2 linked regions of the Caenorhabditis elegans genome follow. The protein of the gene in region 1 interacts with the protein of each later gene in a pairwise test. Each region holds a gene or a part of one and is shown on either strand. Other genes may lie near its edges.

Region 1 (16,249 bases):
CCGATATCTCCAACAAAGTGAGGATTGTCTGTTCCACCAACTATATTGAATCCGAAACCTGTAAAATGAGTACTATATAGACGTTTAAAAATACAATTTATACCTTTAGATGTTTTTTCTATTTCAACTACTGTCAATGCCTCCAATGGAACAGATTCTTGTCCATTTCCATCTGTAGTCGTATCATTGAATGTCATGTCGTCCGTTGCTTCTGCAGCAAATGAAATATCGAATGTATGATCTTCATCAGCGTGAAATGGGGAGGAAACGAGAGCGGCATGATCTGAATATTCTTACCAACTCTCGAGTCCTTCCATAGTTTAATACTTACGTTCATAAACTGGATCTGAATCGGTATTGAACACTGTATCCTCTTGCGGAGGAGACACCATCATTCTGAACAATTTGAAGATTTTTGTAAATTTCGAAAATCACTAATTCCAAATGAAATAAATAATACACAGAAAACAACTGCTGTAATTATAAACGTAGAGAAATAACACCATTTAAAAATATTTATTCATGTGGTTGCGGATGAATTGTATAACTGGATATGAAATTTCGTTTTCACATTTTTTGGAAAAGAGTTTAAAACTTAGGACTGAATCCGTAAAAAGTGAGAAAAGAGAACGTTGGAAAGAGATAGAAGTGAGAAACCCATATGGATGGTAATCAGTGCTGATTATTGAGCCTGTTGTTCATTAATTTGTAGATGCTCTCCTTTACATATTGCTTATTGTGGGGGACATATGTGTATGTTGTCTGCAATTTTTTTTCCGATATTTAAAATATGTTTTAAAAACCAACATTGTCGAGAACCAGCATTGAAAGATCTTTGAGGTCGTCGATGAACTCGAAAAGGTGCGATATGTCATAGGTGATTTCGTTTTGAGCCGGAACCTTCTTTTTCAAATATTCTTCGTAGACTCTGCAGATTCCTATAAGTTAAAAGTTTTTAATTGATTATAAACTTTTAATTTTAAAATGTAATTTGGTTTTTGTTACTCACCTTCAAGACATTCCGTGGTATTCTCATAATCCGACCATGAACGTGACTCGATGTTGTCTGTCGGTTGGAGCAGAAGAATTGTGTGACTCATTTTCAAAAAATTGAGAATATTTTTGAAAGGGAAAAAACGGAGTAAATCTGCAACGTCAACGCAAAAAAAATATTAGCAAGAAGTGCGCCAGTACGTCGAATAGTGCGTCAGCGACGTCCACTGGCGCGCTTTTGGTGTTCGGGCAATTTTTATTTTTATTTTTTCTTTCTTCTATAATTTAACAATTTCCATACTGTTTGAGGTTTTTTGCATAAATTGTGAAAATCGAACAATTCCTATCAAATTTTCATTTTCTCAACACAAATTCTAAAAATTATTTTCAGGTGATTTCGCCATGTCAGGCTTATCTCACGCCGGCCGCCAGGTTGCACGTATTGCAGTTCGACAAGCATCGTCTCACTCTCAGTAAGTTTTTTTTAGTGTTAAAGGCTAAATAATCTGATGTCAAGAAATCATGTTAAAAAACGATATCAATGGAATTTTCGATATTTCAGAAAATATCTGTGTTCTTACCAGGAATTTTATTTTAAACAATAGCTTTTTCGTATTCGTAATGCAATTAGTTTACTAAGTGATTATTCTTAACAAATATAACAAATGCTCACTTTCTTATTTAATCTGTTCCGAAATACTAAATATTTAATCATCTATCCAAAAATATGCGTTTGCTCCCTTTAAAAGCATTAAAAAATGCATTAAATTGTTGATCTCTTAAAGAACAAAATTGATTTTTCAATGCTTGTAATATCTATCCCTCGAATACAAAACAGTTTCCTAAATTGGTGAATTTTTGAATCATAAATTTTCAAATTATTGCAGTGACTCCCACGCCGTCTGGAAAGAAATCAACAGACTCGGAAGTGAGGGAAAATGGGATAATGTGAACAACATGCCAAAAATGTTTTTGTTTGGTGAAGCCAAGCAGGAGACGACAGCTGCTTATCGTGCAATTGTGAGTTTTTTAAAGAATTAATTATGTTCCCGAAAGTACAGTCGGTTCGAAAATAGTTCGAAAATATGTTTTTGTTTTGAGAATTAATTGCAATGCTTTCAAAATAAGATAACCTTAGTACTTAGTTTACTGAATTTTTAATTTTTTGATCATAAAGCTTCCACAGCTATAGATTTATAGTGTCGGGACTGTCCGGCGAGGCTAAAAACTTGGCTTTTGAAGCCGCCATAATGTTTTTAAAAAAATTTCAAAGTTCTTCACAAAATCATATATTTTGTTATGAAATGGCATAAGTACTACAAAAAAAATCAATTTTCTCATGCATAAGTAATTAAAAAAATTTTAAACAAGAAAACGTTCAATTTTTAAAAAGTGACAGCATAAAATAAAACGCAATGCGATTTGTATTGTTTTATTTCAGAACAAAGACCCCGACTTCTTCCGTCAATCTCCATATGGTCAATATTTGAAAATTGTGTGGCGATTGGCTCTTCTTTTCGGAATCATCAAAGCCGGAACTGTTGTCTACGATTTTGCCGTTCCAGAAGAGCAGCGACTCAAGTACAAGTACCGTAATCACGGACATCACGGTCACGACGATGCCCATGACTAAATTTCTGATTCACCACCGTCCGAACGTCTTCTTTTTGCATAGGAAGAAAGAGCCCATTTTAGTGTATTTGTAATCATTATCATTATCACAAAAAGATTTTTCTTGTAAAAAATGTCTTCCCATAAACATTCACAACATTGCAAAGAACATATCCAATATTCGAATTAGAAGACCACCCAGATGGAAATTAAATACGTCGGCTGGTTTTATTTGCGCCGTCAATTCAGTTATCGAAAAAATCATCATCGTCATAAACTTAGTTATTGATTATTTCCTGATAACTACTTATACGTTCAACCAAATCATTTCGTTATCAGCCACAGTTTATATGTGCCATAAGATTCTTCAGCACTCAACTTTTCCAGTTTCTTATTTTTTGAACTTACCAATGCTAGAAGTATAAACATAGAAATTCACATTCTTTCTAGTTAACTTCTCTGCAATGACTGGTCGTTTTTGGAAAACATGGTTTGTACTCAAACTATTCAATTTTTTTGCCGAATTCTTCTTCGAGCCCTTGCCATAGATTATTCATTGTGTGACATCTCTATTGTATTCTCTATTATTTAGTACTAACTTCTCTGGAATTCGACTTGCATGTCATACTATTAGAGTATATGGCCGTGATGATAGGCTTGTGATGATATACCTTGTGAGGGCTGTGAAAAACAACAAAAAATCGAATTTCTCCAGAAAACCAAAAAAAAAACACTCTATTTTTTTCGATTTTTCATCAATCCAACTAAAACATAACATCTTTGAAAAACAATTTTTCTGTTAATTTGGTCTGAAAAAAAAATCAAAAATCCATTTTTACGAAAAAACCAAAAAAGCAAAAAACCGACAGCTCTGCTATGATATACTCATCTATGATGTGATATAGATGAATGTCTAGCGATGATTTTTTATAGAAACAATATGCCCGATTATTGAGCCTTAAAAATTCACTAAAATTTCTCAATTAATCTTTGTTTGCCGAGTTTGACATATAAGTTGCTAGAAGCTATTGATCTTTTCCATTTTCCAACAACAAATATTTGACCTTCAATACAACAACACTAATTTATTAGCACAATCACTATCAAATCTGCACGTACTTTTGTATTTATTTAATGATTTAATCAAGAGTCTTTTATCAAACTACATAGATATTCTAAGTGTCACATGAAAATCAGTTGGCAAATATATACATTTTAAAACTATTTTATAAACCGTTTCAAGACAAGTACACTTGAAGCTATCTCTGATTACTAAAATACTATCAAGATCTATCTCTTCAGTTATTGATGTTCTTACATGTATTGCTATTGACATAAAATTCTACGTATTTACAGAACAAATGTTGATATTCCTGTTTTTGCTGTTTCTTTCAGCTCCACTATGCAAGTTTGTATTGTATCCAGTGATATACGCGTTCCTTAAATGGAGACATCCGGTCAAGTGAGTACTAATGTGATTATGGACCCAGTATGGGGCAATTGATCACTTTTTTGTTTACGACCCAAACTGGTTATCTATATTGAAATTCGAGTTTTTTGTCAATTGTGATTTGATACTATCAGTTGATTAACAAGTGAGCACACTTTTTTTTTTGAATGAATAGCAGAAACCATACTTTGATAAATTGACAAAAAGTTGAAACTTCTATCTAGATTTCTATGGAAAATATGAACGATGACTATCCGATTCGTTCACTCTTATAGTATTTAAAGAAAAGACATGTGCTTGAATAGATAAAAGATTGATTTAAAAAATTACTCAAACGTTTTTGCAATACTTTAAATACCACTCATTTTTTTTCGCTGATCGAAATTTGGAAATCGTACTTTTAAAACATTTTCAAAATAAAATCTTTAACTGTTCCCTTCTTGCATATTGATGGTATTCATGCATATTGTCTTTTTATAAGTTCTAGTGAATTACCGAGATTTTTTTGATTTTTTTTAAACTAAAAAAGGCTACAGTAGACTCAATACAATTTCAGAAAGTTCACTGCTCCAACTGCAAAGATTCGTGACATTATAAACCCTGATAAAGAGGAATGGGAACTGGAACATATTAAAAATGAAGTATGAATAATAAAAATAGACACGAAATTCGTCCTTTTTTTGCAGGAAATTCTAACAATTAGCGGTTCTGGAGAAGATAATAGTTTTGTGTATATTCAAGTTATAACAAAGAATGAAATTCATTTTGCTCATATTCGAGTTTTCGAAAAAGGAATTCTTTATTCCGGATCATACAAAGCAGTATTCTCCGATAATCGAACAATTTCATGTGGACCATTGCTAATTGAGCTTCGAAACCCATTCCGTAAATGGAGAATTAATTTCCGTGGATACCTGAATGATGCTAAAGGCAACTCTCATTTTGTTATACTTTCGGGATGGTGGAAATGTGTGTCGAATGCTAGATTTTTCTATTCAAATGCTCTTTTGAAGTCATTCAATGAAATTTACAATGACAAACCAACTGCACTGATTGAGAATTTGAAAACTATCGAAAAGTGACTGAATCATTTCTTACAAATACGTTATATCAACTTTAGGTACCGAAAAGGAAATGTGTTAAACCAAATGGGTGAATATCACGCAGAAATCAAAATTGGGAAAGATGAAGTTGTCGAACATAGATATAGAGGTTGAAAACACACGATACAAAAACCAAATTCCATCAAAGTTTCAGGACTTCGTCATAGAAATCCATTAGACTTGGAGACAAGTTCTACACATTTTCATACATACCTGAGCGTAAGGTTTATTTATCTTTTTTGTATTATAGAAAAGTAGAAATACTTTTTGGCTTATCCCGCTTAAGAAAGTAGTTTTCAGGATGCAAATGCAATTTCCTATCGTGTCAACTCTGTAGATGAAAAGAAATCAGTTAGTCACGGAGTGGGATTCCGTTCAGATCACAGTGCTCGTCCAATAATTATTGATAATTCTCATTCCCTTGAGTCAGATAATATGCTTCCAGTTCAATTCAAATATGTTTCACGTGGACTTCTCCCTCTTGAAATGAGAAAAGGACGAAAATTATGTCATTTCACGTTTATTCGAGAAGACAACAAGGTTGTCGACGTTACTGCGTTAGAAGTTAATTCTGCAATTTTTACGGGAGTTGGATTTGTGGTTAGAGTGAGAGAGGCAATTCATGAAGTTACAACTAAACTTCCCGATAGTTTCCCGGAATATCATGCAACTGAATCAGAAAAGATGAAATCAGTAGTCTCATTCAATCACAGAGCATGTCAGGATAAAATGTTAACTGGCGGAAAAGGTGCGAATTTAGCAAGACTTCAAGCAATCACCGATGATGTAAGTTCTGAAAGTAAGCATATACAATGTTGAAATAGATTTTCAGTTCCATGTGCCTCCTGGAATAGTTGTCACTACCGCAGCTTTCAACAAGCATGTAATTGCGAATCCAAATGTTTTAGAAGAAATAAAACTTCTCGATATCAACGATAAAAATGCCGAGTATTATGAGGATGTTGGTAAAAGGTAATAAAATAAGTTATCAATCCAATATTTAGAAACATGACATATTTTAGAATTGAAGGGCTTCTTTTCGAAAGTGAAGTGTCTCAAGAACTGCAAAAAGAAATTAAGGAGTGGTTACCGCGTTCTGAATACTATGCAGTAAGATCATCTGCAGTTGGAGAAGATGGAGCAGATCTTTCATCAGCTGGACAACTGGAAAGTTACTTGGATGTGATTGAAATTGATATAGTTGATAAACTGAAGCTGTGTTGGGGCTCTAATTTTAGAAGAGAAGTATTGAATTACAGAAAGTAGGTTTTAACAAGTTAAAATTTCAATCACAATGTGACGTTTACAGAAACTACGGTCAGCAGCTTAATCCGTCAATGGCTGTAGTTATTCAAGAAATGGATCGAAACGGAGTGGCTGGAGTTATGTTCACCGCAAATCCAGTAAAATTAGATCGTGGAGAAATTGTGATAAATGCATTGAAAGGAAGTGGGGAACAAATTGTGAGCGGTGTGACGACACCAGATGAGATTTACGTAAATCGAATCCATAAAACGGTGGTCATAAATGTAAGTTGGGTTTTCTTAAAAGGATTTTTGCTATATTTTACCTTTTTGTCAATAAAGAAGTACTACAAAAATATTTTCAGAAAGTTGGCGTCGATTGTTGCTTGGATGACTATCAGATTGAGAAACTTACCAAAGTTGGAGAGTACTTGGAGAGAATATTTGGAAAACCTCAAGATATTGAATTTGTTGTTAGAAATCAAATGGTTAATATTGTTCAAAGTCGAGATATTACTGGTTTGGATAAGGAGACTCAATTTGAAATGTGCACAGAATATAATTCGCCAAGTATTCATGACAAAGAAATTCTAACAAATGCAAATGTTGGAGAAGTTCTTCCAGTTCCGGTTAATGCCATGGAAGCTCATAATTTAACTGGAATGTTTGATAAAGTCATTGCAGTAAGAATAACAATATAATTAAAAAAATTAAATTATAAACAAAATTTCAGTCAATGACATTTCAAGAGCTCAATGATGTTGTGCCGGCACATACTTCAATCGGCTTTTCCGTTGCACACCGTAAAATATTTTTCAATTTGGGAGAAGTTGTTCTTCGAATTTGGGAACTGGTTGAAAAAGATCGAATTACTGATATAGTGATTGCTGGAGAAACTCTTTTCAATGCGGAAATGTTCCAACAAGCAGCTCATCAATACGGAAAAGTTTCACCTTTCTTTCCGTTGAAGAGAATGTTCAACATGATCAAGTTAATATATTTTACATCAAACAGTGTGAAGGCGAAAATTGTCAAAATCGACGAGGAAGCAAAGAAACTGGTGCCAAATGATAAAATGACGATTGAGATAGTATTCAAAAAATATGACGAGCTTGAGAAGTTGTGGTGTGATGCAAGCCATTGTCACACCAGTCTTTCAATGTTCTCTTCTTTCACATATGTGCTATGTGGAATGCTTATTCGTGGAAGTGACAGTTAGTTTTTGTGGAAAGTGTTGAAAGGCCTTCAAATGATATAGAGTTTAACTGGAATTCTTAAGGAAGGGTTAAGCTCTCCTTAAAATACTATTTTTGATAGGTTTTTAAGAGTTCACACAATTGATGATTACGCATTAATCATTTAAAATTGTGTTTGTTATTTAGCAGCATACTTGAAAATACCTATAAAATTATGATTTCTGTGTCAAATCTGTCCTCCTTTTGATTCTTGAAATTAAGTATTTCTAAGTTGTAATTATTCAAATTTTATAGAATCTGATATCAACTTCCATTCAAAATATTTTTCAGATGGACCTCTTTCCAATGACAATATATCCGATTTTGCCAATGTGTTCTCCAATAACTCTCGTGGAGATGTAATCAGTGCTGACGTTCCAAATTCTTTAAAGAAACTTGCAAAAACCATTCGAGAAGAGAGTATTGATAAAGAATTTTGTGCTGCAGAAGACGATGAGGCTTTGAAAACACTTGAAAACGGAAAGAAAAGCTCTGACGAATTGAGAAGATTTCTAGAATTGCATGGACATCGAGGGCCGAAAGAACTTTATTTAGATGCTACCACCTGGGAAGAGGACACCAATTTATTAGTTCATACAATTAAAAGTATGTTGGCTTGCCCAGAAACGTCTGGGAAGACTATTGAGAATGAAGATGATATTATTGATAACTTGAAATGCAAGCCGACTGGTATTAGAAGGTGGGAAACTTTTTGTAACCATTTGAAAAAAATGCATTTACACATTTCAGAAGACTTTTGAAATATTTCATCGGTCAGACACACCGTGGAGTTTCATTTAGAGAAACAGCAAAAAATCATTTAGTTTCCACGACACATTCTCTTCGAAAGGCATGCAGAATGGTTGGAAAGAAGTTGTATGAAAAAGTGAATTAATTTAAAATTTGCTGCAAGTAATTTTCAATTTTAGGGATATCTTCCTGATCCAAATCTTTGGATGCACTTCTCAATGGACGAACTTAAAGAATTGAATGCAACAAGAAGTGCAAAACTTGTTTCCAGAGCAATCAGAAGAAAACAGATTTCATCGAAGTTTGAAGGTCTCCAATTTCCACTTGTTTCTCATGGATACATGAATCCAATTAAAATAGAAATCGCTGAAACTGATGCAAATATTGGTATCATTCTTCGAGGAACTACAGTATGCGAAGGAAAAGTTAGAGCCAGAGCAAGAGTTGCCAAAACATTGGAAGAAGCAAAAGAGACAAAACCAGGAGAGATTCTCATTACAAAATACACGGATATCTGTTGGTCTCCATTTTTCCCAATTATCAGTGGAATTGTCACCGAGATTGGAGGACTACTCAGTCATGGGGCTGTTGTTGCAAGAGAGTATGGACTACCAAGTTTGATTGCAGTTTCCAATGCAACATATCACTTTAAAACTGGTGATCTTGTTGAACTGGACTCTATTTCTGGCACAATTAGCCGACTGGACACTAATCAGGAATAAATTTATGTAATCAATTTTTTTCAAATAAAACTGTTTTATGTGAGTGTTTATTCAAAATTTGATATTCTAGAACACAAATAAAAAAGATGCGTATGTTCACATTGGTCAGTAAATCAGTAAATAAAAAATATGTTAGTACACGGAACTTGTTACCATGACAGCTCTACTCCTGAGACTGGGAAAATGGTCTGTTGCCATTGACGTACGTACCTAGAAAAATAAGACATGTTTCACAGAATTATATATCATTTACCTTGGTACTAAAATACATAATAGTCCATGGATGATTGAAAGTGAGTATGTCACTAACAAAAGGCATCAATGCTTTTGCAGTTTGGGCTCCGACTGACATTCCTTCTGATGGTGCGGCGCGAAGAATCAACTAAAAGTATTGAAATATTGAATAACTGAGGAGGCAAAACCTAAATACCGTATCTCCGAGAGCTAATAGCTGAATAATGAACGAAACAAAGCTGACAGTAAACAGATTTCTCTCTGCACCACTGATCCTTGTTGGAAGAAGAGTCAGACGAATTATTGAGACAATGTTTGCAGTTGCGGTAAATAATGTAAAAACTATCATGAATGTGACTAGCGAGTTTAGCACTTCTGTTGAGTTCTGAAAAACGAAAAAATTGAATATATTCATAAATTCAGACTTTAAAAATGTTTTGAGTTCATGTACGCTTTGACACACTTTTAAAAAAAGTATCTCATTGAGTTTGAATACATTTGCAACAAATTGTAAAATTAAAACATACGGCTACAGTTTTTGTTGCAAATCCTCCCAATGTTGGAGAATAGATAAAGTATGCGTTGTTTGTCGCAATTGGCCATGTCATAATCATAGGGAATATAATAACTATCATAATAAGGAAAGGAAGACTCGGGCGCCATATCTGAAATAACAAAAACACTTAATAAAAATCGTAATAAAAATTCTCTCGAGGTCTTCTAAATAGCATGAACTCCTAACTCACTTTCTCATAACTGTCAACAAAAAATACCATCGTCAAACGGTTGAGAGAAGATAAAAATGTCATGAAATACTGAATGAATGCCATGCAATAGTGAATGGTAAAGAATACTTGAAGAGGAAAATTATCTTCTTCTGTAGAAGAATTTCTCTCAAAAAGAAATGCAAATGTACAATTGTTGCAAGTATTTTGAGGGGCGCGAAGAGTAACAAATGAATTGGCAAATGTTACCATGTTCTGAAATTCATTATAATGAAGTACAGTGAAGACATTTTCAATGGCGGTAGAAAAATTATCTTTTTCATATAAGCTATTTAGGAAAGTACCATATTGTATGTTCTCTATTTTATGAGCATTTTTAAATATTGCACTGGACTACGTTTTTCGAAAATTAGGATCGCAGTCTCTGTCACTGCACCATTTTTCAGTTGCGAGTCACATAATGATAGTTTGAGCATTTTAATGAACTTAGTTTTTTTGTAATAAGTTTTTTTGCTCTAGCAGTGTGCTCACACTAATGAACAAAAATATGATTAGTTGTTTCCCTTCTCTTCATTAACTACTTGTCTTGCAAATAAAAATACGAAAGTTGTCTATTTTCAAGAGATCTGTTGCAAAACAGAATCCCTCAGAACTTACAAAAACATATTCTATAATAAACAGTTTGAAAAACGCAGTGTTGTATTCATTCCATCTTCTGATCATCATAAGAATGATCAAAGTGTACAGGTAGGAAGAAGCAACACCATAAGCTGCCGGAAGAAAGAAGAGAGGGGTAAGCATTTCAAACTGAATAAATGAACCAGAAAGGAGAACTTGAAGTCAGCGTTCTGACCAGACAATCCCAAAGGTCGATGAGCCAATTAGCACAGAAGAGTTCTATTCAGCATATACTCTGACGTATTTTATTCTGAAGGTGTTAGATGGAGGAAGTGTCATGTGAACAGTTATGTTTTTGACTGGAGAACATAACTTCCGGATAATACAAATATTATCATAATCTGGAATCAAAACAGTTCCTGGAAACTTTTTTCCTTTTTTTGTTTTCATAATATTGCAAAGTTAAACTTATTTTCAATTCTAAAATATAATATTCATGTTGACGCAATTCCCTTAAATGTCTATGTCTAGTTCATCATTTAAACTTTAGCAAATGAAGTGCATATTTATTAAACTTCAGAGATCAGTGCGATAAATTGCTAATGAATACAATCAGTAGTTTCTCCACTGAATTGATCCGCCAGGTTTAAAGTTCCAATGTCGTAGTTGTCTACTCCGAAGTTTTGACCAGAGTTGATTGCGTAGTGTGGAATATCAATTCTCAACTTTTTGTCACACATCTGAATGTTCTTTAATGTAGATTTTTTTGTGTTTGAATTGCACTTACACCGTAATGATTGCAGCTATGATAAATATTCACTTTCGGATCCATATCAAAAACTTTTGTATAATGTCCAGAGACTCTGAATGTTCCATCGTAACTGGTTCTTGTTGAGTCGAGCTTTGTGTCGTAAACTGGAAAAATAATTTGAATTTCAGTGTGAACTGCCTCGTGCCGACATGCCTACTTCCAAAGAACATATTGACTTTTTAATAATTGTATTAAACCTTCATAAATGTTTGCCTGAAAATGTTGCTACCCACCATGGAATCCCAAATGATTCAAAAAAAAACTTTCAATCAAACTTACTCGTTCCATCTTCATACAATTTCACAAGAACATCTGATGCCGGCTGTCCATCACAAATCAATCTCCCTGTCACGGTCACATACTGATCACTTCCTATCAGATTAAAAATAGCATTTGCAGAAGTTAAGAATAAAGCAAAAAATAAGATTCGAATCATTCTAGACGTTTGATTTTTAACATCAAATAGCAATCATTTTTATATCCAAAAGCCCAACCACCCCTTATTTACTCAATACAGTTTGGTCTGTAAATAAAAAGTGAGAAACTCATATTCATTGAAAACAGAAAAGAGTACAAACATCACAAGGAAATGTGATGTCAACTGAGTGACTGTTTCTTTTCTCCATTGGCTCATCAGTGTCTATTTCCCATTGCGACTACTTGAGAAAATATTGAGTCAGACATTGAGAATGATAGTGCTATATTACTTAGTAAAGGTAAAGTCTGAGGGACAAAAACCTATTTTTCAATTCGATATTGCAAATGTAATGAATTGTATATTAATTGTTCGAACATCAAACGAAAACACGAGGTAACCCAAATTATTTTAGAGCCATGAATGTCGTTGTCATATGATGTTTTTGGAGGTGTCTGGTTTTACAATTAAAAATAATGACGAAATGCAAAATACGTATCGATAGAGAGAAGTTAGTTTTTGATAAGAGTAGTCATAAATTATGACGTTTAAAGGGACAAGAGAGAATTAAAACGTGTTTGGGAAAGTTTATGTCTATGTATATGAAGGTTAATTTTCCAATTTCTAGGTATATTTGTCTTTTATCACAGGCCACATAGTACGTGATAATTTGAATGTACGATGATGAGTGTGATATGTACACAAAAAATATAAGACTGATTTACTTTATTAGATGAATCATGAAAAAAAGATCTCAAAAATTGACAAATATGACAATGAACCTGAAGTGAAATTGAGTAGGAATTTAATGATAATAAGCAAGAAAAAGGACGCAGATTGAATCTCAATTAATATCAGAATCTCAATTAAAATTGAATCTCAATTAATATCAAGCAATAAAATTATTCTAAGAACCATGTTTTTCGATACAAAAATTTGGGTGTTCCAAATTCAAAAAAGTCTGAGATCAAATAAGTGCCTTTTCCTTATTACTAAACAAGTTAGTTAGAATGAATTTTTCTCTCGTCATGTCGAAACCGTTTCACAATTCGAACTCCGTTGACAGCATTACGTCGACGATATCCTTCTCCCGTATTTTCAGCTGCATCAACAAGAATTTGATTGTCTTGAACTGTTCGCTTGAATTCTGCCGACTGTGGTTTCTTTGTTGATGGTAATTCAGAAGTTTCTGAGTGCCCATCATCTTCATATTCAACAGTCTCGTCTTCGTAAACCACTGAAAGGTTTTATGAAATATCGCAATTCGTTTGTAACGTTAAACAACTAATTTTTCTTACCTTCTGTGTTCTCGTGTGCAGCTGGAGCCACAGTTTTTGCTTCTACTCGTGGTTCCATGAAGAGGACAGTTGAACTAGTCACAACTTCTGGAGTATAACTAGGAGAAAGAGATGTTCTGACTGGAACCTGGGTTTCTTCAACAACATCATCGTAGTTTTCATTCGCTACTTCAACTCTTTCGGTCTAAAATCCAAAAATCTATTATCCACTATAATAATATAAAAAAAAATTATTTTACCGTAACATCCATATGAATAGATGCTGGAGCTGGAGCAACAGTAGCCTCCTCTTCAACAATTACATTTTCTGGTGCAAAAGTTGTTCCTGATCTTGAATCTCCAACTTTATTACCCTTGTCGTCATAATATGCATAGTAAAATTCATCTTTCTCTCCCTTTTTCACCGGAGTTTCATCGAAATCTGGTACTTCTTCCACTGCTGGAGCTTGAGTGACAATAGTTGGTGCATCAGTCTCATATACTGGAGCAGCAGTAACCACTGGAGTGTAAGTTGTTCTTTCAATTTCTTCTCCATATCCGTTATCATGAAGAGTATTTTTTCGAGTTTCAGCAAGTTCAGCTACTGGAGCAGCAGGCTGAACATACGGTCTTTCTTGAACACGTGGTGGTTGATATGGAGCAGGAGCTGGACGAGGAGCAGGACGTGATATGTATTGTGGGCGAGGAGCTTGTGGTTGAATGTAGCGAGGATTTGGAAGTTGATACATTTGTTGAAGAGATTGAGCTGGTCCTTGTTGGTACTAAAATAATACTATTTTCAACTCACACTTCAATAACTTTTGACGTTAATTTTGATTTTGTTTTTGGAAAATAACTCAATTTATGCTTCACTATCAGTCTCTCAAATGTTAGGTCAAACATTCTTTACTCCAAATTTTGTTAGTTTTTTTTAATTAAAAAAGCCGATTACATTTGGCATTTAGAAAGAAGTAATGTATTTTTCATTTTATAAAAATTGGAATTTTGAGATATTCCTCAGTAACATTGACTTTTTTTTCATTTTCTACTGCCCAAAAGTCTAGTCTGAATGGTGATCAATTAGTACACTAAACCCAAAAAAAATAGCGGAATACTAATGCATTTTGAGGTGGATTATCTCATCTTTTTTGTATTATTTCGATTTTTCTCTGATATTCCTCACCTGTGGATAAGAAGCAGTTTGATAATACGGTTGTCTGAACGGAGTCAGATCTCTGTAGAAAGTAGCATATCCATTGATTGCACCACCTCCGTATCCACCACCATATCCACCGCCAGAGTAGGAACTATAACCACCTCCACCACATCCACAAGATGGACTGATTACGGGCCTTCAAGATAATTAATCGAAGGAAAAATTAAAGATCGGGACTTACGGGCAGAAACATCCATTAGATAAACCTACGAGCAGTGTGGTCAAAGCCACCGAGAAGAAGATCATGACCTAAAAGGTGAATAGATAATTAATCGAAATCGAGTGAAGCGTGAGAAGATTGAAGTGAAACAAAAATAATAATGACGGCAAGTGATGATACTTCCTCTTTTTTTTCCTCCGCCTGCCGCAGATTACAGTTCAAGCCTTTGTCGTTGTGATAATTTTTGAGAGATTGAGTGTCGTGTCCTGTGCAGTTGTAAAATTACAAAGAAAAGGTTCGATGGGAAAGCGAGAGGAAAAAATATGAAGCTAATGAAACAAAGAGGGAGGTAAAACTGTTTTGAGGTAGAACACTCTGAAGTCAATAAGATCAAAGAAATTGAAATCGAGAAAAGGAGAGTGAGAGAAAGGTGAGAAGAAACTGAATGGCATGGACAGGCTAGTTGGCTAACCAGTACTTAAACATTGAGTAAGCACATCGGGTTCCGAGCGTATTTTTACCTGTAGACTTCATGACGTTGACAATTAAACCATGCATATACACTTCAGACGGTCATCGTTGATGAAGTGAGGAAGTGCCCATTGATGATAATATCTTGGATAACATCTGTTCGCAACATCTTAGCATTTCCCTTCTCTTACGCAATTTAGTTTTTCATAAAGTTTTTTTTGCATCTTTTTCCTTGTCAACCTCTTCCTCGTCCAACAACCGCCGCCACAGGCTTCATGCTGATGATGATCTGGTTTTGATTCTAAAATAAAATTTGTCTTCTTGTGTCGCAGAAAAGTGATTGAAAAAGGAACATGTTGCGTGTGTTTCCTCATTTATTCAATAACTACTTTGAAGAATCAAATCACAGAATATTACAGTTGAAACGTATTCAGTTGAAAACTGTCTGGATCTCAGTTATGTGATTTTCAGCAGTTTTTTTTTAAATCGTAGAATAAAAAAGGTAGATTTTGAATGCCAGGATAAGCTTCTGATCAAAGTGTCAGTCATCAGTGTAGAAATGGAAAGCTGGTAGAAATGCACGTATTAAATACATGTGAAACCTTTTGCAGTTGACAAAAATGGCTGAAAATTTGAATCGGGCGTTAAAAAATACTCGAGGAGATAGGTTATAACGTACTATCCGAAAAGTGAACTTTAAAATTTCAAGCTGTAGAACACATAAATCTTGCAAACTAAAAAAACGATATACATCAACTCATTATAACATTTTTTTGCAATATTAGAATTTTGGTCGATTTTTGTACATTCAGGCAAAAATCCATTTGTTCCGTCATTTTTCCTGAATTCTCACAAAAAAAATGCCTATAGCGACTAACACATTGAAATTTTTCTTCTTGGATAGTTCTTTAAAAACTGTTTTTCTTTAATACGACTTTTTGAGTTTACACAATTAAATTGAAAAAAATCAAGTTCGAAGCTAGTCAGTTTTATTTATGACGAGTATCATGTATTAAAGCGTTTTCAATCATTACAAAATATACATTAAACAATTGAAGTTCTCAGAGTTTCGAGATGAAAAATCCTACTTTCCAACTTTTAGAAGCAATTTTATAATAGAAATGCATCTAAACAACAACGCTGAGATCCTTCTTTTCCTCTTTTGAAAGTGAAACTTCCTTGATTGGTTGCTGTACAGGACGGCTCGCTCTCTT
Region 2 (16,118 bases), on another chromosome or scaffold:
TTGTGCTTTTCGAAGACTCAAATTCCGTTCATCGTAACGAACTGAATGGTATTCAGCAGATGGAAGCTCCTGAAAACAATTTGATTTTCTGTTTCATGAGGTTTTATTAGATTAATCTTGAAGAAGCAAAACTGTTTCAATGCAATAGTATGTATGTACAACAACTCACTCTTTTGACTGCAACTCTCTTCACCACCTCATTCGAAACTTTTTTGGTCATTGAACCTTCCTCGGCACTTGGACGTTCTGATGAAGAAGACGTTCTCCAGCTTTCCAATGATTCTGAAGTTAATCGGTTACTGTTTCATGTCTACAGTTCAAACGTTTCAATCGATTTAATCTTCACTACCTTCAAAACTTCCCCTCTTACCTCTTACAGCACCGACAATTCCTTGTTCCACACTAACTGCCTTCTTCTCTTTCTGCATCCTGTGAATCATTTTTTGATCGTTTTCTTTCCACGCATGTTGTCCACGTTTCATTGGTCGGAAGTCATCTGCCTTCAGAATATCGATTTTTGTGGTGGCGGTTCTGAAATGTAAAAGTTACGGTTTCACATGAAAATTATAACAGCTACACAAAATGAACTTTAGTAATGATTGAATTGTGGAAATATTCAAACTTCCTCAATCTAGTTCGAATAAAGTGGTTTCTCTTACTGGCTCATTACAAAAGTAAAGTTTATGAACTTCAACAGGCTTCAATTTCAGCTATAATTTTAAAAAATCCAAGTAAAAACTAACAAATCTTGATTGGAATTGTAATTAATGTCCCGATGAAATGAAACATCAATGTTTAAAGCTGAGTCATTTATCTGTTCAAGCCATGCCGCAACCGATCCAATGACTATTTCTTGAGTTAACTGAAAATGAACGGAAAATCTCGGAAAATCTGAAAATGAACTCACCTCGGCGTTATGAATTTCAGTCATTTCGCTTGTTGATATGCAGCCGTTATGTTATCAAAAAATAATAGGAATAATTGATTTTCGATTCTTTTTTTCTAATTTCCCGCCGTTTGTTTTTTTTCATTTTGAACTTGAGGCTGTGCTACGTAAATAATATGTATTCCTCCACAATTTTATTTTATTTTACATCAAAAAATTCAAATATTGCGTTAAATCAGGTTGAGCTAGAAGTGGATTCTGAGGGAATAATAATGGGAATGATGGGTTAAGGAATGGAATAAGTGATGGTTGAAGTATTTGTGCTGGTTGTGGTGGTAATTGGAATAAATGAGATGGAATTACTGGACGTTTGAGAAGAGAAGAAAGTCCAAGATCAGTGCTGGATGGTGTTGGGCTGGAAAATGGAGTTTGTATTATTGTTTCTGGTAATTGAAACTGACATAGTTTTCAAGCCATAAATTTAGACCAACTACACATGTATCGAATATCTTTCAAACTGTCTTTCACTTTTCTACGTTCAAAACGGAGTGTAACCGGTTTTCCTTATTTCGATAATTTAAAATGACTTATAGCAACAGAAGAATTTCGTTTTTTCAGAGAATCATCAAATTGTTAGTTATATAATTTGCAATCTATTTCTTTCATTGTTTCGGTTTCTCAGTAAAAAATATTTTCAAAAGAAAAATTTGCAAATTTTCGACAGCATCCTAGTTTCACATATTTTATACATAAATAATAATCACATATTTAACGGTGGTAAAAATATTGAAAAAAAAGTCGTCAGATAAAAATCACAAAATAAAAACAAAAAAAATTATGAAGTCATCAAACTAATAACTTGCTAATTTTGATTGTATAAAACGGCATATAGCAACAGATTTTTTTTTCTTTTTATTATTGTACACTATAATCAATAATACATAATTTTAGGTAACTATTTTTGAACAACATGAAACAAGATTCACCTTTCCTCACTCATCGGTCTTTTTCTCTTCCTTCCAACAGTATCCGGTCTTGCCCAGCTCACAGAAATCAGCTTTCCATTCTGAAAATCCAAAAAAAATCTTTAAATTTTGTTTCTCCATTTCCCAACCAATGTCTTCCCATCCATCTCGACTATCTTTTTCTGTGCATTGGCTCTTGTGTCAAAGAGCACAAAACCATATCCATCTGCCACGTGGCATTGAACAACTCCGTCAGTGATTCCTCCAAAAGCTTGATAGAGTTCAGTATCCGGCATGTCACGAGATATTCCACGTACGAAGACATTTGATATCTGAAAGTATGAAAATTAAATAACTATTCCAAATGAGTGAAAGCATACATTGCTCATAACATTCTCCGCTGGTTTTGGCTCTTTCTTTGCGAAATTGACTTTTGTGAAGAGCTGAAAATATTACTGTTTCAAATATAAAAGAAAAATATGGAAGAGGAAAAAAATCTGAAGTGATTGGGTGATTGGATACAAATTACTGTATATTCTAAAATAATACTGAATTATGAAAAAACTATTTATACGCTTTATGAAACAGTATTAATTCAGAAAAATACATTAATTGGAATTGAAAATCAGAAATGGTTTGATTGAATCTAGGATTATCAAATAATCAATCAGAGCATTGTTGTCAAACCTTTTCAGTGCCTTATTAAGGCTCCCTTGTAATATCCTCTGAAATTTTTAATGAATTCCTATACGACTTTTCCATTAAAAAAAATCAAAATCTAAGAAAAAAGTAGCATACCCCTGAAAATTTAGCCAACAAAACGTTTGCCTCGGCAAGTGATCTGCATTGTACAAAAGCAAATCCTCGATGTTTTCTAGATCCATTTTCAACAATGTCAATGCTCACTTCAAATGGTGCAGCCAATTGGGTGATCAGATTCTGAACCTTGTTTTTAGGTTATTTCTTTTAAAATGAATATATGGTTGCATTACGGAACGCCCTACTAATTTCTGTCGTTTTGAGTCTGGAGTTGAGTTTTGAGTTTCACTTAAATTATGCATTTTTAATTGAATAACTGACTAGAACACTAGTAGTAAAGTAATTTTTTCCGGTTCAGGTGTAAATAATTTTTCAATTTCACATGAAGAATAGTATCAAATTAAGCTACAGAAATAATTTTGTCTTCCAAATAAATAAACATGGTTCTGAAATAATTTTCAAAAAATATTTCTCAAATTAATTACTGTTTCTGAATTGTTTGAAATTTTGTGTCAGACTGACTGCTTGTTGTTGAATGTTCACTATGGATTATTGTTGTACTTTCAGAAATAGGAAGGTGTGTGGCAGGCACGTATGTTTTTGTTCAGGCAGTTTTGGTGCTCCAAAAACATCTAAAAATTACAAATTTTTGCAAGTTTGCATAGAACGGCACATTTGCCGAATTTGCCGCCCACTCCTGGTAGTAACGTCAATTCGTTAATCTAACCTATAATTTTACATCTCTGTCCACCTCCCAATGAATCATATTTCCCTTTTACACCTCTTCGCTTGCCTATCCAATTTCATACACTTACCCGAATTTGCTCACTGCTCAAGTTTGTCGAAAATCCGCCAACATAAAGTCGATCGCAAAAGTTGTCGGCCGATATCATGATGTAGTGAAACAGGAATAAATGTTTTTGGATGAAGGCAGGGGATTGCGTGATAACTTACTCCATAGATACCTTAGAGACAAAATGTTGGAATATTTAATTTGACACGAACATTCATAAACACATACCTAGAAGAGTAGAAGTGACAGAGAGAAAGAGGAAGAGAGAATGAATGAGGGGTCCGAGGTCCTGGAAAATGAGAAAATATGTTTGGAAAGAAGACTAAAACCAAAAAAGGTGTTGCTATAGGGAAAAAGAGTGTGGCTCGAGTGAATGAATGAGGAAGAACAAACACCTCTCGTCACGTCGTTTGTACCTCCAATTATATTCAACCTTTTGTCTCTGGACCCCCTTCTGTCTTTTTTTGGTTAGTTGGGATTCGGATTTTGGACAAAAAAAAATAGTTCTTGATACAAAAAGTGGCATGAGAATAAGAAGAATACTTATTTTGCACTTACAACGTATATTTTGGCTTTAAAAAATTTTACAGTTTCAAGCAAAACATAAAAATGTTTACAATTTTAATTATTCAATCCTATCATACTTTCAAAAACATGTGTTTTCTTGTTTTTTATTGGTTTCTTGAAATGTTGTCTGAAAAATCTTGTAACCAGAACATTTAGAACAATCAGACTAACAACTTGAATTTTAAAATATCTGGAAGCATAAGAGTCAAAATAAGTATTAAGGCCACATATCCAAAAATTCTAACTGTATCAATAACCTATTTTAATAAATAGAACAAATGTGTTCCGTTTAATATTCTTAAATTTTTATGATATCTGTGTACTGTGTGGATGTCTAGTTAAACTTGTGAAGAACCTAATCATAATTTTATAAAATTTTATATATGCAGAACATTTAAATAATCAATTTTTAAAAATTTTGCAAATTGTTTTCTTTTTTTTTTATTCAACTTGGTGCCAAATTTTAAAGCATATTTTATAGTTGAAGTAAGGTCAGTGGATATTTGGATTTAATATTTAACAAGTAGCTAAATACTGTTGATTTTCAGAAAAATTCAATTTCAAACATTTTCAAAACACTGCGTTTTTGTTAGAATTGTCTGAACCTCAAAATTAAGAATCTAACAAAATTTATCTTCTACTCTTTTACAGAACTATAGAAATATGAATTTAAAAAAATAAATTTCTAATTTCTGAATCGTCGAAAAAATTTAAGAAAAACTGAAATTTCTCAAAAACTAAACGGATTTTTAAACTATTTCCGGCTATATTTTTTTCTTAGTGTTTTCAAAAAACCTTCATTGTAGTGTTAATTAATTACTATTATTCATTAATTCAGAAAGATTTAAAAACTGAATAATCTATAAATACAAAGGGCAATAAAGCCAAACGAAAGCAAACAACTAGCTGTGAAACTTTAGATTCTTCATACTATTTTAATTGAGTATATTTTTTGACTGTTTCAAAAAACTTGTTTTAAAGGTATGTGTTTTTCTTGGTATATTATGAAATGAATATCTAGTAACCAAAAAAATGCATAATTTATTTTTTCTTCAACTTATAAATTTCCTTTGAGTAATGGTTGAAACAATTTTGCAAAACACTGTGAAATAGTTATATTTCACCAGTGAGGCAACTCGATTTTATATACTTATTTGAAAATGTTTCTAATAAAGCAAAATTTGCTTAGATTTAAAAAAATGAGTATAAATATTAATAAAAATGTCGATACATTTTCGCAAAGGTTTCATATTTTTCGGTATTTTCAAATTGTTTGATTTGACTTTATTGAAGATTCTTTCCAAAAAAATTTCTAAAAAGGTTTTATGGCGATTTTAAATAACTAATATCTGCAATTTTGGCCACTTTTTTTGTGTCGCAGTGCAAAGCTTACTTTTGAAATAACATGAGAAAAACGTCCAACATTTGCAATAAAAGATTCATGAAAAGTTGCCAAAATTGAAGAATTGTAAAAATAACTTACCCTAATCAAAACTATAAATTGACCGTTTTCTTTTCCGAATCAAACGTTCTTCTTCTATTCCGATCGAAGTCTCACCGAACCAAATCTCCTACAAAAAAAAGAACGAATTATCATATCAATTGTTAACAGCCAAACAACAAAAACGTGCCTTTGTCATGTAAATTATCATAACCAACCACAAAAGAAGAAGAGACCACCCAAGACGGCATATTTGAAGTTCTCGCTCTTCTGCACTATTTCCTATCACTGATTGGGATACTGTAGGCATATCTGGAATCAAAATATTAATTATAGAAGTTGATGGAAACATTAAAGTAAACGAGAGAGACTTTTGGTAAATTTCTGCAATAAATGCGTTTTGGCAAGAAACTACTGTTTCAATAAATTTATGAAGTTAATTATTTTAGATGACTTATAGTTAGAGTTAGTTAGAAAGCAACTTTTAAATGTAATAATTTGTTTTATCATTTCGATTTATTAGTATTCACTGAGTACAACAGAACATAATTAAAATTTTAAAATTGAATTTAGAATTGAAAAACTCTGACACAAAATTTAATTCTGGAATAAATAATTAAGGTGAAAAATATAATTATCAAATGGGTCAACAATTGTCAATATTGTTTAGATAACTAGAACATAAAATCATTTGCGCGTGAATTAAAAATTCAGCACAATTCGTCGATTTTGAATGATTTTCTATTTTTATTAAAACTTTTAAAATAAAACTTCCCGTTTTCATTGCTTTTTATCAGGTCTTCCCATAAGTTTTGTATATTTTTCAAAACTTTTGAACACGTCTGACAGAACAAAATCGAATCTTTTATAAATGTACATGTTTAGTATGGTTAAGATTATTATTGAGCAGTTTTAGACGTGACTATTTCAAATTGCTCAAACTTAGCAACCACTGTGTGAACTTATGGGAAGACCTGAAAATTTAAAAAATCATTTTAAGTTCTGGAACCCGAATCGTATTTTAAGAAGGAAGTACACTACTTATTTTATTCAGGTTGAAGACCTAACATCTACACAGTAGGTCTTCAGGTAGGCACAAATAACCTGCCAGCCTACCTACAATTTTTATGATGCCTAAACGTTTGCCTACACAAGTGTCTTATTTCAAAATGAAAATAGGCAAGAGGTAGGCACGCCAAGAAAGAGAAAAAAAGTCCCAAAGTCAATTTTCAGAAAAAATAAAGAAATCAATGTAGGACAGCTAGAATGTTGGCTCAAAAAACTGGAAAACCGGAAATCGAACATCCATCCGGCTTTCCAAATGATACACTCTCTGTGATTATTATAGAGAAAAAGGAATAAAAATAGCTCTTCTTGAGGACCTCTTTTCCATTGAAAGACAGGACTGAATTGAATTATCGGCCCAAAAAAAAGGAGCAGCAGCCGAAGAAAATGGAGGAAACGGCGAAGAAAAACGGATATACATACATAAACATATGTTTAAAGTGGAAAAAGAAAGAAGAAGAGTCTAAAAAAAAAGGATATGGAAATGAGTTTGACAAAAAATGGAATGAAAAGGACGTTAATTATAGGAGAGAAACATTGAAAATCCTTGAAAAACCGCAATTTGATGGCATGATCTTTGAATTGGAGGTAATACACACGTCACTTTGGAATTACTGGAATAAGACTATGAATTCGGTTTTTAGAGGTGGAGTAGCGTGAATGATTGATTTAAAATATTTTCTTTAAAAGTCTGAAAATCAGAAATTCCAATAACTTTTTTTTCTAGAGTTTGAATCCCCTTTGAAATGAGAATCTGAGCCCATTTTTTCCATCTGATTGGTCAAAAATTGGTTTTGAAGCTTTAATTCCTGCGGAAATTCAGACAGGAAGATACATAAGTCACAATGGGAATATCTCGTTGTATAAAATAGTTTTTTTTTAATATTTTTTAATTTTTCGTTTTTAAGTTTTGGCATTTCTGAAATCTCCTACTACCTTTAAGTTCTTATAAATAACCAAAATATTATTTTTTTTGTTTACATTAAGCCATCATTTGTTAGTCATGATCTTGTTTGATGATGACAAATGATGACAACGAGGAGAACTTCGTATATCGACACAAATCATCTCTTCCGCGCGCCCCGCCCCATTGGGTCCCGGATGTCTGTCACTCTCTAACTATCTACACTCTCTGTACCGGTAATACTAAAAGAAGAACAAGAAAAAGAGCAAGAAGAAAAGCTCATTTCATTTCTCAAAAAAAAGGAAAATGTATATTCTGAAAGTGACAGCTGCTTATCACACTTGGCAGGCATAATTTGAAGAAAGAAATGAAATTTCCAACCAACTTGAATCACAAATCAATCAGGTTTTAAGGGAAACGTAGGAAAAAATTTATAAAAGAAAATTGGAGTCACGACTTCTCGAGGGACAATTCAATTGAATTAAAGAAAATTGCGTGCACTTTTCTCCGTTTCAAGGAACTTTTCCGGTTTCGAGAGTTTGAGAGAAGAATAGAATTCCAAAAAGTGTTTCCAAGTGAAAAGTGAGCAATTTCCCAAGAGTTTCGGCTCAAATTACCTGCGATGTTATTCTTTTTTGTGTGATTTTCAAAGGACAAAGAGGATTGCAAAGTTTATTACAGATTCAAAATAAGGAATAATACAGCTTAGGATTTGTTATTCGCCTCTTCTGTACAAATTGCGTGAGCCACAAATTCCTTCTCACAGTCCAAGCCGCGTGGTGTGGTTTTCGAAGCGTTGAAGCATCTGAAAATGAACTTTTTGGGTCTCGTTGGGTATTTGCGGCAAGGCTGGAGATTTCTTGAAAGAATTTTTTAAACCAAAATGTTTTTCTGTAAACCTGTCGTTAACTTAAAAACCCAGACATTTTTTAATTATGCACTTTTTTTCAAAAATACTACTCGAAATTGTAGAGCGTAAATTCGCTCAAACCCTTAATGTTTTCAAAAAGAGGGGTTTCAAAAATCTCCGTATATTCGCCGCCAAACGAGACTCATGATTAGGGGGCGGAGCGTTTTTGATTAGCTGTGGAGCGCAATTGCATTCTCATCAAAACTATTGCGTTTCTATAAAATATTACTAACACTAAAGCATCTCTTATCAAATATCCACATCGATGAGCAAGAGCAGAATGGAGGCAGGTGCAGTCGATGTTGATGCTGCCGTCGGGATACACGGATTCTGAAGAATTCGAAATTTCCCGATTCTTTTTTCCAAAATTTTATACCAGGTGTCTCATATGGCTCAAAATATGGTCGGTATTCCATTTTTACCGATTTGAAAAACTCTTCGCGGCCCAACTTTAAAATCTCGTCTTTGGACATTTTTTGGTCTTTTTTCTCGATAAATTCTGAAAACGGAGGGCTATGAAAATCGAATAATTCTATGAAATAAAGTATTTAACTGGGAAATTCCAATTCGTGATGCTCAGAAGAGATTTCAGAAAAAAAATGTTTATTGCAACTCGACCTACAGTAATATTTAGAAAAATATAAATAATAATACAAAAATATTATTTCGGATTAATTTTCAATTCTTCCGTATCCACAGTCATCGCCTTCCGCATTTGTTCTCGTCGTTCATCTGAAAATTACATTTTTTTTATATCTTTCTAAAATATAATTCGTTAACCAACCACTCATATTCTGCATACAGGCGGCCCAATTTACAAATTGATTTGGACATTTTTCCGATGGATCTCTCGTGTCGTCGCTTTTCATACAAATGTACAGCTCTCGGAAGAAGTTGCCGCACCTGGATAAATTCGAGGTTTAAAATATATTAATAGTATTGTTTATTTATCACAAGAAAGAGCTACACCGGAAGATATTATTTATTTAATCTGGTGAAGGTACCTATGTGCTACCAGAGATCCACCTGCCATACATGGACACTGCCAATTAATTGTTCCATCTGGAAACGTTGGTCCTGGAAATAAGAAAAATTAAGTTTTCCTGCTTTTTATCTCAATTATTACCAATTGTTTTGTATTTTTCTGTATTCTGCATTTCTAGAACCCATTCCGATTTTATTGGCTCTTCGAATTCTTTTTTTCCAATGTACAGTACCTCATCTTTGACGTGGCATTGCATTTTTCGTATTAACGAAAAGATGGGCATCGGGAAAATGTTACAATTTGATGGCGGAAATTTCAAAACAAAATAAATATAGAAACTTTTTCGGGATCGATATCCTATTAAAACATCTTGTGATTAGCTTTTTAATCAGCAATAATTTTATTTCAAATGTGAATAAGTTTAAGCTCACAACTTTCGAAATACACAGAATAAATAGAAAATCGTACAAAGAAAAAATATAAAAATTCAGGGGTTCTCTTGGTTGAGATCGAGGAGAGAAAATTATTGGATGTCGACGATTCGAATTAACTTGTGAATCGGAGAAGATATAAATACACGAGAGAATTGATAAATTAATGAATAAATACTTGAAAGCATTTTAAAACAAAGTTTTTACGGGCACTTCTTCTCGACAATCGATTTTCCACTCTCGTCGTACTCGGCCTTGCTCACCCACATTTGTTGGAATGTTCCCTACAAAAAATATGGAATTAAAATAAGATTTTTAAACTTTTTATTATTCACCAAAGATCCGAGAATTGATCCTCCGATCCATGCGCCGTACTTCCGTTCCGCTTGAGTTGGAGCAGCGAATACTCGGAGCTTGATCGTCTGAAATATTTTATTCTTTATAAGCGTTATTTAATTTTGAAGAATTACCGGTGGACACTTTGTGGCTAGAGCATAGTTGAGCCGTTCTGTGAATCCAAGAATCAACGAGTTTCCTCCAGTGACTGTGACGTTCGAGAAGAGTGTCGGTCTGATGTCAATATCTGCAAGATTTGCAGAAGCTGCTGCCATTTGAGCCACTGTCATCAATCCATCCTTCTTTCCCTCAGCTTTAAGGTATCCAAGATCGAATAAACACTCTGGAAGCTTGATTCTTTCGGCTCCGAACTCTTTTGTGTATCCATTAGGGAAAGCATAAGGTGTCGATGGAAGTTTGTCGACGTAGTCCATATCAATACTTGTATCACAGAGTTGGAGCATAGTGGCTGCCATATCCTCCAAAAGCATCTTTTTCATAAATGCATCGTAACTTTTCGTGACCTGTGGTAGATTTTTCCTTGGAGTCCATTTTGGAGCTTCTCCTTCGTTAACTTCTTCTTTTCCACCGATTCTATAAGTCGGAATAACATCAATCTTCTGTTGATCGAGCATTTGAGCCAGTTGTTCTGTGATGAGATCGCCGCCGATTGGACATTTTACCACCGCGTGAGTCACTGCGTAGCCATCGAAAACAGGAACAACTGAAGTTTGAGTTGCTCCAGAATCAACCATCAATCCGTGCGTTCTTCCTTGTGCGAAACAGGAAAGAACAACATTCTTGGAGAGGTAGTACGCAGGGACTTGGAATTTTTCGAACATGATCTCAGTCAGCTTCTCCCGACGAGCACGGTCATTCCACTGAAAACAAGTGTTTCTTATTAAATAATCCTTAATGTTCTTACCGAGCTTTCAGAAAACAAAACCGGATGTTCAGATGGATTGGAGTAGAGGATATTCTCATACGAATGTTCCACAATCTTTTCGAACAACTCCCAATCTTCGACTGAAAAGCATTTTTTTGTTTTTAACTTTAACTTTAACTTCTGTCAAATTACTCACTTAATCCTTCTTTCATAAAACTTTCCATGTTAGTTCTGGCGCGTGGCACAATGATTTTGGTCGTTCCGATGAAAAAATTCTTCTCGCGTTTTGTTTGCACTTTCGAGTTATCACCCTAAAAATAATGATTTCATTGAAAATGAATTAAAAATTGAAACTGCGTACTTCTTCCATAGCCTCTTGTTTCTCAATAGTATCATCAGGAAGTGCTTCTTGAACGGCAATGTATGATGGAATATCTCCCTAAAAAAATAAAGCAATAATATATTTGAAGGTATAAATTTATCAATTCTTGAAATGTTTCTTGCCTTTGGGTATTCTTCTCCAGCAAATCCCACGCGGAATGATTGAGATCCGGCATCGAAAACCAAGCCGCTAACCTCGTCTGCAAAGAAAACGGCGTTTTATCTATAACTTAAAAGATCAAAGTTCCCATACCTCCTCCATAAACTGCTCCACTCATATCTTGATCTGAAAAATTTATAAAAGTTATAAATAAAACCGAGAGAAAAAACAAAAACAACAATAAACGCCGAGGGAAGAAAAATATCAGTTTAAATTTTATGCCGACACCGAGAGTGCGCCAACGCGATCAAAGAACGCGTCAGCAACCACCTGGCGTATTTATCGATTTTTGCTCTTTCATTAATTTTCATTGCCATTTGTTTCTTGCTCTTAAATATTCAATTCTTTTCCAGAATGTCACTATCGGCTTGGAAACTTGACTACACTTACTCTTCGAAGAATTGTCGTACTGCGGACAGTAATTTTAACCCGCCAGGCTTCTACTCGACAGCTGCCACCGTTCAACATAGCGTGAGTTGAATTTCTTCGAGAATTGAAAAGTCTTAAAAAAACAGTTATTCGCTAAAATTGTGTATTTAAAAAACATTAAGAAAGAAAAAAATCTGCTTATTATTAAAACCTTAATTTTATAATTTCTCAATTTTCAGGCCGAAGCCGATCGATCCGCTGATCAACACGAGCATCTGGCACGAAAACGAGTATGGGACACTGCAATGGGACCAGCTAAATCTCTGCCGATGAACATGTTCATGATGTATATGGCCGGAGGCGGTGTGTCGATTTTCCCAATTATGATGGTCGGAATGATGGTGTTTAGGCCGCTGAAAGCATTATTCGCAGTCAATTCCACATTCAAACCGCTTGAGGTAAGTTGCGAGTTCCCACAAACTATAGTTTGAAGCTAATTAGTACTGGTTTTTGTACCTTTTAGTTTTTGTTGTTTGGAGAAGGCGTTAAACAAAAAAATATTCTAACATTTTCAGAGCCCTGCAACTGGATCAATGTTTATTCACAAGCTCATCTTCTGCCTTGGAAACCTCGGAGCAATCGGTCTTGCCATCTATAAAGTACATACAATGGGTCTTCTACCGAATACTCCATCAGATTGGCTCGAATTCATTCCTCAACCGGGTCGTGCTCAGTATTCAATAATCGACGAAGTATTCATCTGAATCTCCGAACGAATCTAGTCAATTTCCATTCCCAATCTTTCCTCCAAACTTGCGTGATCTTTTCCATATTTGATTGCAGAATAATTAATAAGGATAGTATATAATTTATATCATTTTTTCCATTATGCTTCGTTCCCCCATTTCATTGTACTTCGAAAGTCCCCAAATACATAATTATTTTCTATAGTTTTTCTCTCGGAAATTCATGTCACACCATTCAACAACTCACTGATAACACGCCATGCAAAATAAGTTACCAGAGCTCAAAGAATGATGAAGCATGTGAAGAAGCTAGGAACACGGGAATAGTGATCAGTGATACAACAAAGATCACATGTAACAGATTCATAACTATTTTTTATTCCAGGATTTTGAATTCCGCATTCTAACCTACTGCCCGAACGATTTCCGTGAATATTTTTCAACACAACAAGTGAGAATCGAGACAATTTTCTGGAGAATGTTTATTGTGATTCAAAAAAACCAGAAGGAATTGAAACATTGACCAGAGGAAAACAAAAACAAAAAGGAAAAGAGAGAGCAGACATGGGACAGACATTCGGTGAAAGCTCAAAAGTTATTCTGCTAATGCAGACTTCTAGCCTAAAAGGATGCGTATGAGGTGATGGGTACAGTAAAAATGGGAAAATATAACAAAGGATCGAATGGTCAATGAGGATCGGATGAACGTTTCATAGAAAACAATGTGAAATTAATTCAACCTTCCAATCATCGATGGTAAATAACCTTCGATCGTATTATGGATTAATAATGGGGAAAAAGCTCCTGACTTAGAATCATGGAAAATACAATGTTAGAACTTCTTAACCGGTACAGAGAAAAATGAATGACGGGGGTTTGATTACGGGCATGATGGGAGTGAGAATATGACAGATAATATGAGAATGATACATTCTTAAAATGAGGAGCAACTCAGGCATAAGAAATATGACAGATTGAGAGAAGCTGGAGAGGGAGATCATTCATGGAGAGTTGTACCAATTGCCACCTTCTTTGTACGACTTCTCGTTGTTGCAGTTAGGCGCGGTAGGAATCAATGGGTACAGATAGTAAACCCACCTGGAATGATAAATTTCAGTTAATTAATTGATTTAGATACTCACTGTGGATATACGAGTTCCTCGGATTCCTCCACAAAGCCACAAATACTCGAATCGTTCGAATTGTTGGTACCGTTCTACAAAAATACATTACAGCTAATGTTCAATGAAACTTTCTGGTACCCCATCATCGATAATCAGGTCCTGTGCGACAGGCTCGTCGATTCTTTGTCTCTCCACTTCTACTCGAGGCTGTGCCCTCTGAAACGGAATCGGCGCAACGGCGGGTGCTGTAGTTCTTGTCCTTCTATCTTGTGACAATCTCTGAAACCAAGGTTTGTCTCATAACGAAAATATGAAGAAAATAAACTCACTGGACCGGGAGTAGCCGACCGACGCGACATGCGGGATGTCTGAGCATTTCGGGACTCGTTCATCAGCTAAAACAAGAAAAATTAACTTTTTTTCGGTGTACTACAGCACTCACTATGATTTCGTCCGGATAAGATGGCCACGAGTCTGGCGATCCAAGGGAATAAGCACCTGTAGTCACCCAGTCGTACACCCTGAAGAATAAGTAAATTAGGAACATTTAAAAATTAGTTTCATACGTTTGTTGCCTGGCGACCTCACTGACTGGACCGCTCCAGATTTTGTCCCTGTATGCGCCTTTGCTGAAAAGAAAGTACTCGAAAAAATGACATTTTTTATTCAAATACCTCGGGGAGTGCTCTTCTCTTGGCTTAGAACTCCAATTCTGTCTCGTTTGATGACGTCCTCGATAGTTTGGCATCTGAAAACAATGATAAACGTTTTTTGAGCTTGAAAGGAGAAAATTTAGGCAAACTCGTCCAAAAATGAGAATTCAGACCGTTTTAAAAATAGCAAACAAGTTACAGTAATCAAAGGAGCAGTCAGTAAACTAAATTTAGGCCTCACCACGAGTTAGCGAATTTCACTTGCATTTGCGTATTTTTAAAGAATAGTACTTTTTAAAATTACCTCTAGTAATCAAATTTGTTGACAGTTTTGAAATGAATGAAAAATTTACTTTAAAATAAAAGGAAAAGCTGCATTTAGTCAAAAATTATTTGAATAGTTTTGAGCTTTTGTAATTGCGTGGCGAGACCAATGGACTTACCCAATCCGATGTACCTTTAATTTAGCATTTTATTTGCATTTTTGAAATCCTAAAATTCTTTCCTAGGCTTTCGAAATTGACGATTTTCTGTGTTTTTTAAAATTCAAATATCGTTTCCTAGTTTCGAAAATAATTTTTCGTTTTTTAGTGTATCATTTTAAGCTTGTCATTGGGTTTTTTCTTTCTTTGCATAGTATTCCTCGAGGAATTATATTATATTTCACATTTACAAACTCTTGCCTAAAAATGAGACTGTTTTTTTGCAGATGGCGCCCTTGGAAACCATCTACGACGAATCGCTCAACAAATCGGCGGATTCCATTGATGATAAGGTTTTTTTCATGGTTTTATGGCCATTGTAATTTTTTTCATCTTTAGAAATGGTCCAAACTTTTCCCAAGGATTGTCAGCGACCCGGATCGATCATCCAATTTCATGACCAGAGCAATCTACGTCGCGTTTTCGGCTGTTCTTAGGAACCGTAACATTCTTGGACAAGAATATTTCACGAAGAATTACATCACTGGTAAATGTTTTTCTTATCACATTTTATAGTAAATGTTCTTTTTCAGAAAAGCTGAAATGCATGACGCTGTGCTTCAGAAACCCACGGTCTAACCAAATCGCTCAACTACTTCGAAATGCTGGGGATGCAACAAAGGATGGGTTTCTGAAAGAAGTCTCCCTCGTGATCACAAATAATGAAGGAGATCTTGAAGCCATCGAAGTTTTCTCTATGAAGTTCATTTATTTTGAGAATGGCGGCGTGGTTGCTCGTCTGAGCACTGACAAGAATGGCCAGGAAGATCCTCACTTCGCAAAGCTTGCTCAACTTGTATACGAGGGTGGCGACAGCGTACGAGATCAAATGGTGACGATTGTTCGCAGTGTTCAGTTCCTCTGCACAAAAGTTCTCGAACCGTTGCCAGAAGAATTCACGGCTAATTTTCGATTGGAGTACACAAACGATGCTCCATCCAATTTCCGCATTGATGGCTTCGAAGATTCTTCCACTTTTTACACACTTCCTGATGATATCCAATCGGCAACCATTGGTCACTTGCGCCCAGGATGCCACGCTGCAAACATGGAATGCTGGAGCATGTTGATGTCCGATTCATACGAAGCAGAGTTGACTCTCAAGCGACACCTGGACAAAGTTTCCGATAGGCATGGATTCAATCCAGTGAATGTGCTGTATAAATCGTTTAATTCGGAGGACAGTGACACAAGTCTTAGTCAGGCCACTACTGAATCTGTCAACGATCAAGGAGGAAACGAGACTTCTCCGGTGGATGATATAACTGTTAGTTT

The links.
Region 2: the proteins of erh-1 (region 1) and ZK616.3 interact in a two-hybrid assay, tested with the Caenorhabditis elegans proteins (one large-scale study listed by BioGRID).

What each region holds. Positions count from the first base shown.
Region 1 is NC_003283.11:10,577,927-10,594,175, forward strand, and holds erh-1 (Enhancer of rudimentary homolog), read right to left. Parts: upstream 1,216-16,249; 5' UTR 1,101-1,215; coding exon 1,010-1,100; intron 939-1,009; coding exon 808-938; intron 763-807; coding exon 673-762; 3' UTR 501-672; downstream 1-500. Other genes in the region: mics-1 (PDZ domain-containing protein), read right to left, coding at 1-58, 104-283, 332-395; lpd-9 (LiPid Depleted), read left to right, coding at 1,396-1,466, 1,881-2,013, 2,435-2,626; T21C9.6 (Phosphoenolpyruvate synthase), read left to right, coding at 3,966-4,066, 4,611-4,695, 4,741-5,132, 5,175-5,266, 5,312-5,376, 5,458-5,943, 5,990-6,129, 6,180-6,419 and 6 more; srg-32 (Serpentine receptor class gamma), read right to left, coding at 9,241-9,318, 9,362-9,490, 9,539-9,727, 9,870-10,007, 10,089-10,322, 10,725-10,868; ttr-23 (TransThyretin-Related family domain), read right to left, coding at 11,285-11,425, 11,473-11,600, 11,776-11,932; T21C9.9 (Prion-like-(Q/N-rich)-domain-bearing protein), read right to left, coding at 12,913-13,148, 13,210-13,393, 13,449-13,970, 14,372-14,540, 14,586-14,650; T21C9.11 (DUF4149 domain-containing protein), read right to left, coding at 16,163-16,249. UniProt on the Caenorhabditis elegans protein: May have a role in the cell cycle.
Region 2 is NC_003282.8:5,390,510-5,406,627, reverse strand, and holds ZK616.3 (CHCH domain-containing protein), read right to left. Parts: upstream 9,560-16,118; 5' UTR 9,559-9,559; coding exon 9,417-9,558; intron 9,368-9,416; coding exon 9,295-9,367; intron 9,194-9,294; coding exon 9,075-9,193; intron 9,023-9,074; coding exon 8,952-9,022; 3' UTR 8,877-8,951; downstream 1-8,876. Other genes in the region: ZK616.61 (Titin-like), read right to left, coding at 1-69, 170-282, 371-531, 744-862, 908-931; ZK616.1 (RRM domain-containing protein), read right to left, coding at 1,091-1,301, 1,873-1,952, 2,001-2,183, 2,232-2,294, 2,650-2,790, 3,426-3,503; ZK616.2 (CHCH domain-containing protein), read right to left, coding at 8,086-8,185, 8,524-8,620, 8,667-8,763; swsn-6 (Actin-related protein 4), read right to left, coding at 9,910-9,990, 10,042-10,128, 10,177-10,923, 10,968-11,068, 11,125-11,239, 11,290-11,367, 11,433-11,509, 11,563-11,587; perm-3 (ER membrane protein complex subunit 4), read left to right, coding at 11,824-11,940, 12,078-12,296, 12,414-12,602; ZK616.5 (uncharacterized protein), read right to left, coding at 13,586-13,682, 13,727-13,800, 13,847-13,987, 14,038-14,103, 14,151-14,229, 14,275-14,337, 14,383-14,456; htp-1 (HORMA domain-containing protein), read left to right, coding at 15,071-15,136, 15,183-15,330, 15,377-16,110.